Drosophila melanogaster: one gene and its partner. Changing the gene in region 1 together with any one later gene gives a genetic interaction. Each region holds a gene or a part of one and is shown on either strand. Other genes may lie near its edges.

Region 1 (5,499 bases):
AAAAAATTGTCAGATGAGAGACAAATTAGAATTAAACATAAATATAAATGTGTAAACGGTAGCTAATTCGAGCGGCGATTTTAACAAACAAATTTAAAAAGCTTTAAAATTATAATATTCAGGGCGCGAATTTTTAAAAATTTTTTTATTTTATCATATTGCTAGGAAATTGGCAAAAACTACCCTAATATGTACCATGTAAATTCGTTTCTTCGATCAGAATTGATTTCGGCCCGAAAATCGTCTTCTAGCACAACACGCACACTTATACGCGTTCTCGTCTCTTGTTTTTACTCACACAAGCAAGCAAATTATATTTTTAGATTTCTTACGCTCTCAGCGGGAGTGAGCCGAAAGAGAGTAATTTTGGCCGTCACCAAAAAAGTGGCTGCATAGTGCCAAACCAATGTATGGCCGTTACGCATCTTGTTATTCTAGTGTCTTTGGTTTGGCACTATGCAGCCACTTTTTTGGTGACGGCCAAAATTGCTCTCTGTCCGCTAGCTTACGCTGAGAGCGTAAGAAATCTTAAAATAGAACTTGCTTGCTTGAGTAAGTAAAAACAAGAGACGAGAACGCGTATATGTGTGCGTGTTGTTCTAGAAGACGATTTCGGGCCGAAATCAATTCTGACCGAAGAAACGAGTTTACATATTTGATGAAATTGCGCGCTGTTAAAAATATCAAATTGAAATATAACAAAAAAAAAAAAAAAAAAAAAAACTGGAACTGAAAAACAACTAAATCTAATGTGCATTTTAAATAACAAAAATTTTACATACATCATATTAAGTCAAATGACTTGAGAAATATACTAAATATATACGGAAATTATTATAACAACTTTAATTTAAAACATACATTTTCCAAAAAGAAGACATTACATTGAGAAATAAATATTTCATAAAAATAATACGAAGTAGAAAACAAAAATATATAAAAATAAAAAAAATATGTAAACTGTTTATTGCAAAAGTCATATCATAGACACTAGAATTATTCTAGTGTCTTTGCTTTGGTCATATCTTGAGCATGCAAAGGAATGGCTATTACAATATAATTTGATTAGTATGCTACGCAAACCTCTAGCATTTTGATAGGAAAAAGATTCGGACAAAGATTCGTTGTCAGTTTTTTGAAGAAGATGAAGAGGCGGATGGTGCAGTGGTCTGGCCATGTGAGGAAAGTTTATTTCCCACGGGCCCCTTTTTCCTATTTTTGATCCTAGCTTCAAAATCTTATATATCTTATGTCCATAGCGTAAGATAAGTTAAATTTTTCCACTTTTATATTACTTTTATATTATCGACTTTTGTTTTGTCTTGCATATAAGACCATACATCAGATGATTTTTGATCAGGTGAAAACCGAGAAACGAAAGTTTGTTTCTTAAGTGGAATCACCGCGAGTGGTTTTGGCCCTGCAGATTGTATTTCTGAAGTGCCAACTTGTGCCGGGAGTCCGGACTCAATGTTCCCTTGTGGTGGTAAACTAATCGGGACAGGTAGAATCACTGGTTAAGAAACCAGTGCAGACAATTCGGAATCTTTAGCAATCCCAGGGTGGGCTCCCTCCACAGCGGATTGATCGGATTGCTCCAAATCTTATTTAGCTGCCGATCTTAGCAACATATGCGGATTTTCTACGATTGACAGCTGATCAGTTGTGGAGTCAAAATAACATGTCAACCAGATATATTCGTATTCCTAATATTCCTGTAAATATCCTTGAATTGAACAGAAGAACAAATATATCGGTTTTACTTAAAAATTAGAATATCAAATTGATATGCATTGATCACGGTTTTACATTTAGATTTTAAAAGCTGACAGTACGTCCTAAAGGGGTTTACCACCACAGAGCAGTTGCTCGAAGGAGTTCTTTTCAATCGAATGTGCCCTGTGCAAGTGCCGCATTACGGTTCTACGGTACAATATTGGCATAAAACTTCCAAGTGGAAATAATCGATCAAACATTATCGATAGTGTTTCTATGTGTGGCCCAGCCAGATACACATATAAAAGGCAAATGTTTTAAGGCCAGAAATTCGAAAATGAAATCACTGAAGAATTCTGGTATATAATAGGCTGTATGCTATATTTGCATTATATCACATAATTTCTATTTATTTAATCTGGACGGAATTTGTTGTAATTTGTCTAAGATAAACCTTAAACGGAAATGGATACATTTGACGTTTCTGATAGGAACAGGTAATTTAAGATCAAGTGAAGATTAAACCAAAAACTATCAATTGTTTTAACATCAAAATGTGTTCTTAAAGCTGGTACTTTGGTCCCATGTCTAGACAGGATGCTACTGAAGTTTTGATGAACGAACGCGAGCGGGGAGTGTTTTTAGTCCGTGATAGTAACTCGATAGCAGGGGATTATGTACTTTGTGTAAGGTAAGTAAACAAAATTAATACATTCAGACTTTGATTGTGTACTTATCGTTTCATTTCTGTTAGCTAATTTTTATTTTAAAAATTAAACTAAAAATTGTGTATAGTGAGAAATACTTAATGTCAGCCTTTCTTAATCGCAGCTTACCATAAAGGTTTATATAGAAATTCCTGTTTCCATTTTAAGCATGTATACGTGTTTTATAGATGTACTTTAAACATTTATCTGTAATTTTTAAATATAAACAAATTTCTTACATTAAAAAAGGATATTCTTTTTAATAGACCTGGGTGAAAAAAGTAATAAGAAAGAGAAATCTAAAAATTTTTATCAATTTTGTGTGTTTCAGTTTTGGGAAACCTTAAAAATTGTGTTTGTTTTATTATTTCTTTCCCAGAAAATTTTTGAAATTTCTCTTTCCCATTCAACTAGCTGAGTAACGGGTTCTCTCTTGTTTTGTTTGATATTTAGATCCAATGGCAAGGGTCTATGGTCAATTTTGTATTTCTTTAATTTAGTATGGAATGTACCTTTAAGGACGATGATAAAATGTCAATGATGATCTCTCATAGCCATTGCAATTTAGTATGTTTTTAATATGTGCGCCATGTATTGACGGGGTAAATAAATTGAAGAATTTAACGACGTAAACAAAAATAATTACGAATTAAAGGAACTCAATTTCTACTGTATGTCTCGCCACGCGGCATTTATTAAAGAATTAGATGAATAAACGTCTCAAGAATATTCTTTTTGATTTTAAAAGTTCTTTATTAATATAAATGTATATACATTAGAATATTAAAAATAGGTTTTCATATTTAAACTTGAAACAAATTTTTGTTTAGTTTTTAAGGATTTTGCGCCTGTTATAAAAGAATTGTTTACTTATAAAGATTTTTATTATTTAGAGAAGATACAAAAGTTAGCAACTACATCATTAACAAAGTTCAACAACAGGATCAAATCGTTTACCGCATTGGGGATCAGTCTTTTGACAATCTACCGAAACTCTTAACTTTTTACACTCTTCATTATTTGGATACAACCCCTTTAAAACGGCCTGCGTGTAGAAGGGTGGAAAAAGTAATAGGAAAGTTCGATTTCGTTGGCAGCGTGAGCATTTACACAATTATTCATTTTTGTAAGTAATTTAATTTTCTTATTTATCAAAGGATCAAGATGATTTACCTTTTCAAAGAGGTGAAGTTTTAACAATAGTTCGAAAAGACGAGGATCAATGGTGGACTGCGCGTAACTCCTCGGGGAAAATTGGTCAAATACCGGTTCCCTATATACAACAGGTGCGTTAAGCAAATATTTGGATTTGTTATCCTTTTTTGTAACGGGTAACCCGTTTTTAATTTCTTTGTTTCCTTATAACGCTGATGTTAAAATACTACACTTGAAATGAATGGTGAATTCGGTAAAACCAGTCGCGTCAATTTTTATGGAATGCAAATAAAACTTTCGATACGGCGACACTAACGCTAGGATATTAATAATGTAAAATCAGAAAGAAACCCGAAAACTAGTGAGACGTATAAGGGTCAATAATGTCAAAGAGTCGCCAGAAGTAAATATGTAAAAATATATGTATGTATGTAAAAAATGTAAATTGAGCTCTTTTCCCCACGCCTATTTTATGACTAGCGGGTATCTGATAGCCGAGAAACTTGTTCAGAAATAATTATTGAGTTCATGTAATAATACCCTTAAATTGTTGCGATTAGATTCTTTAAAGTCTGACTACAATCTCAATACATTATAAAATCCATTACAAAAACCATTTGCATTGAATTAAACTGACAATGGACAAGCTCCATTGCCTTCAATATATTCGTCCGCTTAAATAGAGAAGGCCAAATTGCGAACGACCTTTGATAAATAAGTTTGTTAAAGGCATTGATTTTTAAAAGTTAAATCATTTTCAAATTTGTTCTTTTCAGTATGACGATTATATGGATGAAGATGCTATTGATAAAAACGAACCTTCCATTTCGGGATCTAGCAATGTATTTGAAAGTACTCTTAAAAGGACAGATTTAAATGTAAGTGTTCCAAAAAAGTATTTAAAAAAAAAATAATGTTTTACATTTTAATTTATCGAAGCGAAAACTACCTGCATACGCCCGCGTAAAACAGTCAAGGGTCCCTAACGCATACGATAAGACTGCATTAAAATTGGAAATAGGTGACATTATTAAAGTCACTAAAACAAACATTAATGGGCAATGGGAGGGAGAATTAAATGGAAAAAATGGTCATTTTCCCTTCACGCACGTTGAATTTGTCGATGATTGTGATTTAAGCAAAAACTCCACAGAAATATGCTAAATAGGAAGGAATGGAAGGAATTTCTTTTGATAATTTTGATTTTTGAGCTAATTGTATGATTAATAAGTTGTGCATACCAATTGTTAACATAATCAGAAAATTAAAATCTTATTAAGTAAAATAAAAATAAACGGGTACGAAGGACATAATAAAATTTTTACCGTTTTTTCGTATGATTCTTATACAAAAAAATTATGAATTTGAAAATCGATTTGGTTTTTTTTATGAATTGTGTAACTAAACGGTAGGTGCTACAGAAAACCCTTTGGGCCTTATATTTTTTATACCCGTTACTCGTAGAGTAAAAGGGAATACTACAATAGGTTCGTTGAAAAGTATGTAACAGGTGGAAGAAAGCGCTTCTGACCATATAAAGGCTGTTCAATATACAAAGACCCCAAAAGCCGGATACATCTCCGAGTAACGCCAGAACGCCAGAAGTTTTTTTATCACCCGCAAAGAGGTCCTTATTTGGCCCTTCGACCACCTTCCAAAATTTGATATTTCCAAACGTCCATAATTCGAGGCTAACAGAACCTACCTCTAAGGCACCAACTCTACAAGCTGCCCAAACTAATTTGACGTCGAATCCTTAATCACCGACGCATCACCAACGCAGTATTAAAACTATGACATATACTTTGCAGCATCATATGATTTCATTCATGTCGTTCGTGTGGATTATCACGCAAGACCTATCTTCCTGGAACGTTAAAATAATGTGTATCTTTAGATCAATAGTTAGTTAGTGCTTCTC
Region 2 (5,221 bases), on another chromosome or scaffold:
CTACATATGCACCTTCGAGGACTTGGAGATCACCAGTGTCCTGCTGGACGACATAATCAGCGTGGGTGAGCTGCAGAATTTTTCGCATATCATTCAGCTGAGGGTAAAGTCCCTGCGCGATACCGACGATCTACTGGAGCACGTGGGACTGGAGGATGCCAAGCAGTTCATTGAGGACAACCCGCATCCGAGGCTCTGGCGACTGCTGGCGGAGTCTGCGTTGAAGAAACTGGAACTGGAGACGGCGGAGAACGCCTTTGTCCGTTGTGCCCACTACCCGGGCATTAAGTTGGTCAAGAGACTGCGCACCATACACTCCAAGGAGCTGCAGAGGGCGGAGATATCAGCCTTCTACGGAGAGTTCGAGGAGGCGGAGAAGCTCTACCTGGACGCGGATCGTCGCGATCTGGCCATAGAGCTGCGCATGACCCTTTGCGATTGGTTTCGCGTGGTGCAGCTGTACAGAATGGGAGGATCGGGAGTGTCGGACCAGCAGATGGAGATCGCTTGGCGGGAGATTGGCCACCACTTCGCCAACCTGCGCTCCTGGGAGAGTGCCAGGGAATACTACGAGAAGTCCCACTACCTGGAGGGTTACATGGAGGCTCTGTACCACTTGGAGCAGTTCGACGACTTGGAAAAGTGCGTGGAACGGCTACCGGAGAAGAGCCCGCTGCTTCCGAAGCTGGCCGAGATGCTGGCCTCCGTGGGCATGTGCTCCGAGGCTGTTCAAGCCCATCTTCGATTCGGCGACCAGAAGGCCGCCGTCGCCACCTGCGTTAATCTCCGGCAGTGGGGCGAGGCTGTTGAGCTGGCCCAGAGGTTCCAGCTGCCCCAGGTGCAAACGCTCATAGCCAAGCACGCGGCACAGTTGCTCCAGGAGGGACGCCTCAAGGAAGCCATCGAGATGCAGCGGAATGCTGGGCGTCATCTAGATGCAGCTCGCCTGCTTTCTCAAATGGCGGAACGGGAGCAAGAGAAGCGTGCTCCGCTGCTGAGAATCAAGAAGCTGTACGTGCTGGCTGCTCTGCTGGCCGAGGAGCACCTCAAGGCTGTGGCCACGACGGAGATCGACTACGCCAGCGGCAGGAACACCCTACTGGACTCCATTGCCCTGGAGGATGCGGCCGCCATCGAGAGGCTTTGGCACTGCGCCGAGGCCTACCACTTCATGCTCCTAGCCCAGAGGCAGCTTCGCTTCGGGATCGTCCACAGTGCGGTGGTCACTGCGGTGAGGCTGCGCGACTACGAGGACGTCCTGCCTCCAGAGCACATCTACAGCCTGTTGGCACTGGCCAGCTGTGCGGATCGGGCCTTCGGAACCTGCTCCAAGGCTTTCATGAAGTTGGAGCAACAGGCTCATCTTCCCGAGGCTACCCTTCAACGGTACGAGGAGTTGGCGGCTGGGATCTTCGCCAAGTACGATCCGGAGGACACCACTGGCGATAGGGTGGATTGCTATTCCTGCGGAGTGCCCGTGCCAGATAGGTAAGTGAAGGGTCGACGTCAGAAGCTGGATTATAATGATGATACTCATGGAATGCCGATCCTTTCAGCTCCCCCTCCTGCCCCGAGTGCAATGCTCGCTTCCCGGCGTGCATCTCCTCCGGGAAACCCATCACCCAGCCGACGAACAACATATGGATCTGTACCACCTGCCACCACTGCGCAGCTCCCACCGAGATCTCCAGGCACCGAACTTGCCCACTGTGCCACAGTTTGATCGTGTCCATGACGGTGGAGATCTGAAATGAGCGGGGACTAGTGTTTTAATTACTCCAGCTGTTTTTCATTCTGCTTATCCCAGGTGGTACAGGCGTATCTACTCCGCAAATAAACAATGTAGTTTTAAGATAGAATTCAAATTTATTTTCAAGTGAAAAGTGTTATAAGTGGAAAGAGTGACTGTTCACAGTGAGTATTTCCTGGGGAGTGCGCTAGGGCCACACTACTAGCTCATCCAACACTCGCAAAGCGGTCACACTGGCGAGTGCAGCTAAGTAAGTCGGTTGTCCGTTTCTTGCTGAATTTTAAATAAGTTAAATAAATTTCTGCTTCGTGCGGTGGTGTGCGTACGCAAATATAAAATAAAGTAAATAGTAATTGCGGTGCTTGCGAAAACCAAACGAGCTCCAATTGACCGACGAAAATACTTAAGTGCATTAAAGAATTGCGTTGTTGTGCGTCGCGCCCGTTTGTCCTTATTGTTGTCGTTAGTGGAGTGCACGAAAAGTAATTGTTTTTATTTAAAGAGGTTGCATTTTAATTGCTAAATCAGCTCAGTTGCGAGTAGAGTGCCAAAATAGAGAGTAGCGACAACGAAAACAAGTTTTTGTGGATGGTGAGAAAGTAAAAACAATAGCAAATTTATATATATAGCTATATATATATGTGGTAAGGTGCTGTAAGCATTTAAAAATACAAATCCTCTCGAGGTTTTAATGGCCAAAGTTTCGTAAACGTGTAAATTGAGTGGAATTCGATTGCGAGTGCATTCTTGGTTTGTTTTGAGTGAGAACCGAAAACCAGTTTACACCGTGCTTCTTGCCAAGGTGAGTTTTAACCCCAATCGTGGCAGTTTAACGTTAATTTTAGTCATTGTTATGTTGTTAAAAATAAGTTTTCTTCTGTTAAATGTGCAATTTCGCCTGGTTAGCTTTGTCAGCTCTCTTTCCCTTCCACCTTTCTTCTTTCCCAACGAGCGGTTTGTTTATGACCGCAGTAGTGCACTTGTGTGCGTGTCAATTAGCGCTTTTATCGGGCGCACACCAAGAACAGTTAAACCTGTTCTGGTTTCTCTTTCGCACAATTTAATGGCCTTTCTTTGGCTTTAGTTTTGCGCTTTCGTCGACTTCTTCTTCTTTGTATCTCATGCATGTATCTTTATATCTGTCATTCGGGGAATTGGCAGCAAATCGGCAAACTTCTCTTTCATCGACCCCCTGCGACCAGCACCTCGCTCCCTGGAAACCCGCATCTTGTGGATTCTTTCCAGTTTCCAGATTGCTGCTGAAGCTTCCAGCTGTCACAGCCGCAACAACAACAACGCCAACGGATCAAATGAAAACCCAGCCAGCATAAACTCACACACATCGAAATTGCCTAACTAACGCACACATTAAAATACAGTCGATGCATCGTCACGAAAATAAATAACAATAATAGCCGTTTATAATTTAGATCAAGTCGCAAAAAATTTTTTTGCGTTTAATTCTTTATGAGTACTGATTAAGGTATCAGTTCAGCGATATTTCATATTACTTCTGAATATGGGGGTGCACACAAATTAAGATATATGTAGAAACCGTTCTTATTTTTTATAGAATTCATTAAATAAGTATGGAATAAACTGCGATCATATTTCCCATACAAAGCATTTTTATTTTTCACACAGTTTCCTTAACCAAGCGATTTTAAGCTTAACCTTATATTTCTGACACTGGCAATGGAACTTGATTTTTATTATCATACGTGATTTAATGAACAATGACGCCTGCTTAGGACACGAGCTTCGAAATGCAATGCACAGCGAAAAGTCCCACAAGCCATTGCAAAATTAAAAACTGAAATGGCACTCAGAGGTGCACTCTCCCCACCCTCGGTATCATATCATATCATACCATGCCGTACATGTCACAATGTCTGTTTAGGTTCCTTTATGGAGCCGGGCTTTGTCGTCGCCATGATTACTCAGCTTTATTGATAATGCTGGGTGGAGGAGTGGCAGGGAGTGGCTGGGATGAAACCTCCTGGGATTTCTTGTCCAATGTGGCGGTGGTTAGAGAGCAACCCATGAGTCGGGATGTTAGTTTTCCCCTTATGATTACGACATTCTCTGTTCTCTATCTTTTCGCTTTGGGTTTGCATTATCCAACATTTTTCTTTGCTTTCTCCGTATTGTTGCAAGTGCATTTCGCTTTTGCTGATGATTATGCTTAATTCTTGTTCGTCTGTCTGCATTGCAATGTGTGGGTGCCTTTCCACTAGAATAATATACACATGTTTTCTTGGTTTTCAGCTGAAATCGGTTCTCTTCGCTGAATCAATCGAGAAAGCTTCTAGCTCTATCCAAATTCGGGCTAGAAATCCGAGCTTCGCCCGCTAATTGGCCAATACAAACTGAGGTGTTGAGTGTTTGGCTCACTTGTGAAATGAATACGAAACAGCTGAAATCACTGTTTCTCACTGATACTTCATAATGGCAGCTAACATCCATCCCAAAATAATAACGTTTGAGAACCCTTTGCCTCTTTGCTTTAATTAAACTGTTCACTGAAAGTTTTGATTGGCCTAGCATTTACGTAGTTCACAAATGTAAGACCCTAGACCTCGTGCAAACTGATATTCTTTCAATAATTTCATTTCCTGGGCCAGAACAACTTGTTTTTATACCAAATCTATTTCTTGCCATTGAAATCGTTTATTATTCTTAATAATCGTTTTTGCCAAATGTGCTTTGTCGCCTCGCCAAGGCGTTAAATTGCCCACTGAACGCCAAACATATGCGTTGCGGTTATTGGAGATGTGTATTGTGGATTCAGTAAACTCGACTTTGATTTCGCTATCCAAAGTACAGCTCAAGTGAGGGCTCCTCCTTTGTAGAATAATTCTGTTTATATAAAGCGGGAAGCGACAATCTTTGTTTAGCCTTTATCAAGTGCGCAGTACTTGAAGTTGGGGGAATAGCTGGCTCATTTTCCCCCTATGCTTAAGATTATAGTAATCCAAGTCAAATCCAGATGTTTACATATGCACTGTGCTGAATCAATTGAAAATACATCACAAAATATATACACACAACTTGAAGAATATAAGACCTACTCTTAGCTCTGATGGAGGTTTAATTGGAACGAAAATAGGCAATGCTTATACTTTATAAAATACATATCATTCTAATTGAATGAAATAGACGAATGCCATTGAGTTTTTTTAACAACAAAGCTTTCTCCTTAGTCCGAAAGTATTTCGCAGATTTTCTTTGGTTTGTTTTTGTTTTGTTTTTTTCTTTCGAAAGCTTTCATCGAAAATCAGGAAATTAGTCATATATAAGTACCTACATATGTATACATTATAGACAGATTGCCAGCGGAAACGGACTCGCAACTTACTTCTAATCAATCTTCTATTACCTTTGCTAACATTTTATGGTTCTCCCTCAACTTTTCGTTGACCCCTTCCGATTAAGAACCACTATCAGTGTGCCTCATCGTGTTGTTTCTGC

Evidence for each region.
Region 2: of Crk (region 1) and drpr, changing one enhances a phenotype caused by changing the other (phenotypic enhancement), as found in Drosophila melanogaster (one study listed by BioGRID).

The regions. Positions count from the first base shown.
Region 1 is NC_004353.4:208,274-213,772, forward strand, and holds Crk (Crk oncogene), read left to right. Parts: upstream 1-1,950; 5' UTR 1,951-2,089; exon of another isoform or gene 2,090-2,164; 5' UTR 2,165-2,181; coding exon 2,182-2,213; intron 2,214-2,284; coding exon 2,285-2,407; intron 2,408-3,316; coding exon 3,317-3,521; intron 3,522-3,580; coding exon 3,581-3,709; intron 3,710-3,841; coding exon of another isoform or gene 3,842-3,907; exon of another isoform or gene 3,908-4,001; intron 4,002-4,354; coding exon 4,355-4,456; intron 4,457-4,517; coding exon 4,518-4,742; 3' UTR 4,743-4,892; downstream 4,893-5,499. UniProt on the Drosophila melanogaster protein: Adapter protein which interacts with C-terminal portion of mbc, homolog of human DOCK180. May play a role in cellular processes throughout development.
Region 2 is NT_037436.4:1,727,856-1,733,076, reverse strand, and holds the start of drpr (draper), read left to right. Parts: upstream 1-1,969; 5' UTR 1,970-2,552; intron 2,553-5,221. Other genes in the region: Oseg4 (outer segment 4), read left to right, coding at 1-1,488, 1,557-1,749. UniProt on the Drosophila melanogaster protein: Receptor which is involved in the phagocytosis of a variety of cells including apoptotic cells, severed and pruned axons, degenerating dendrites, salivary gland cells, germline cells and bacteria.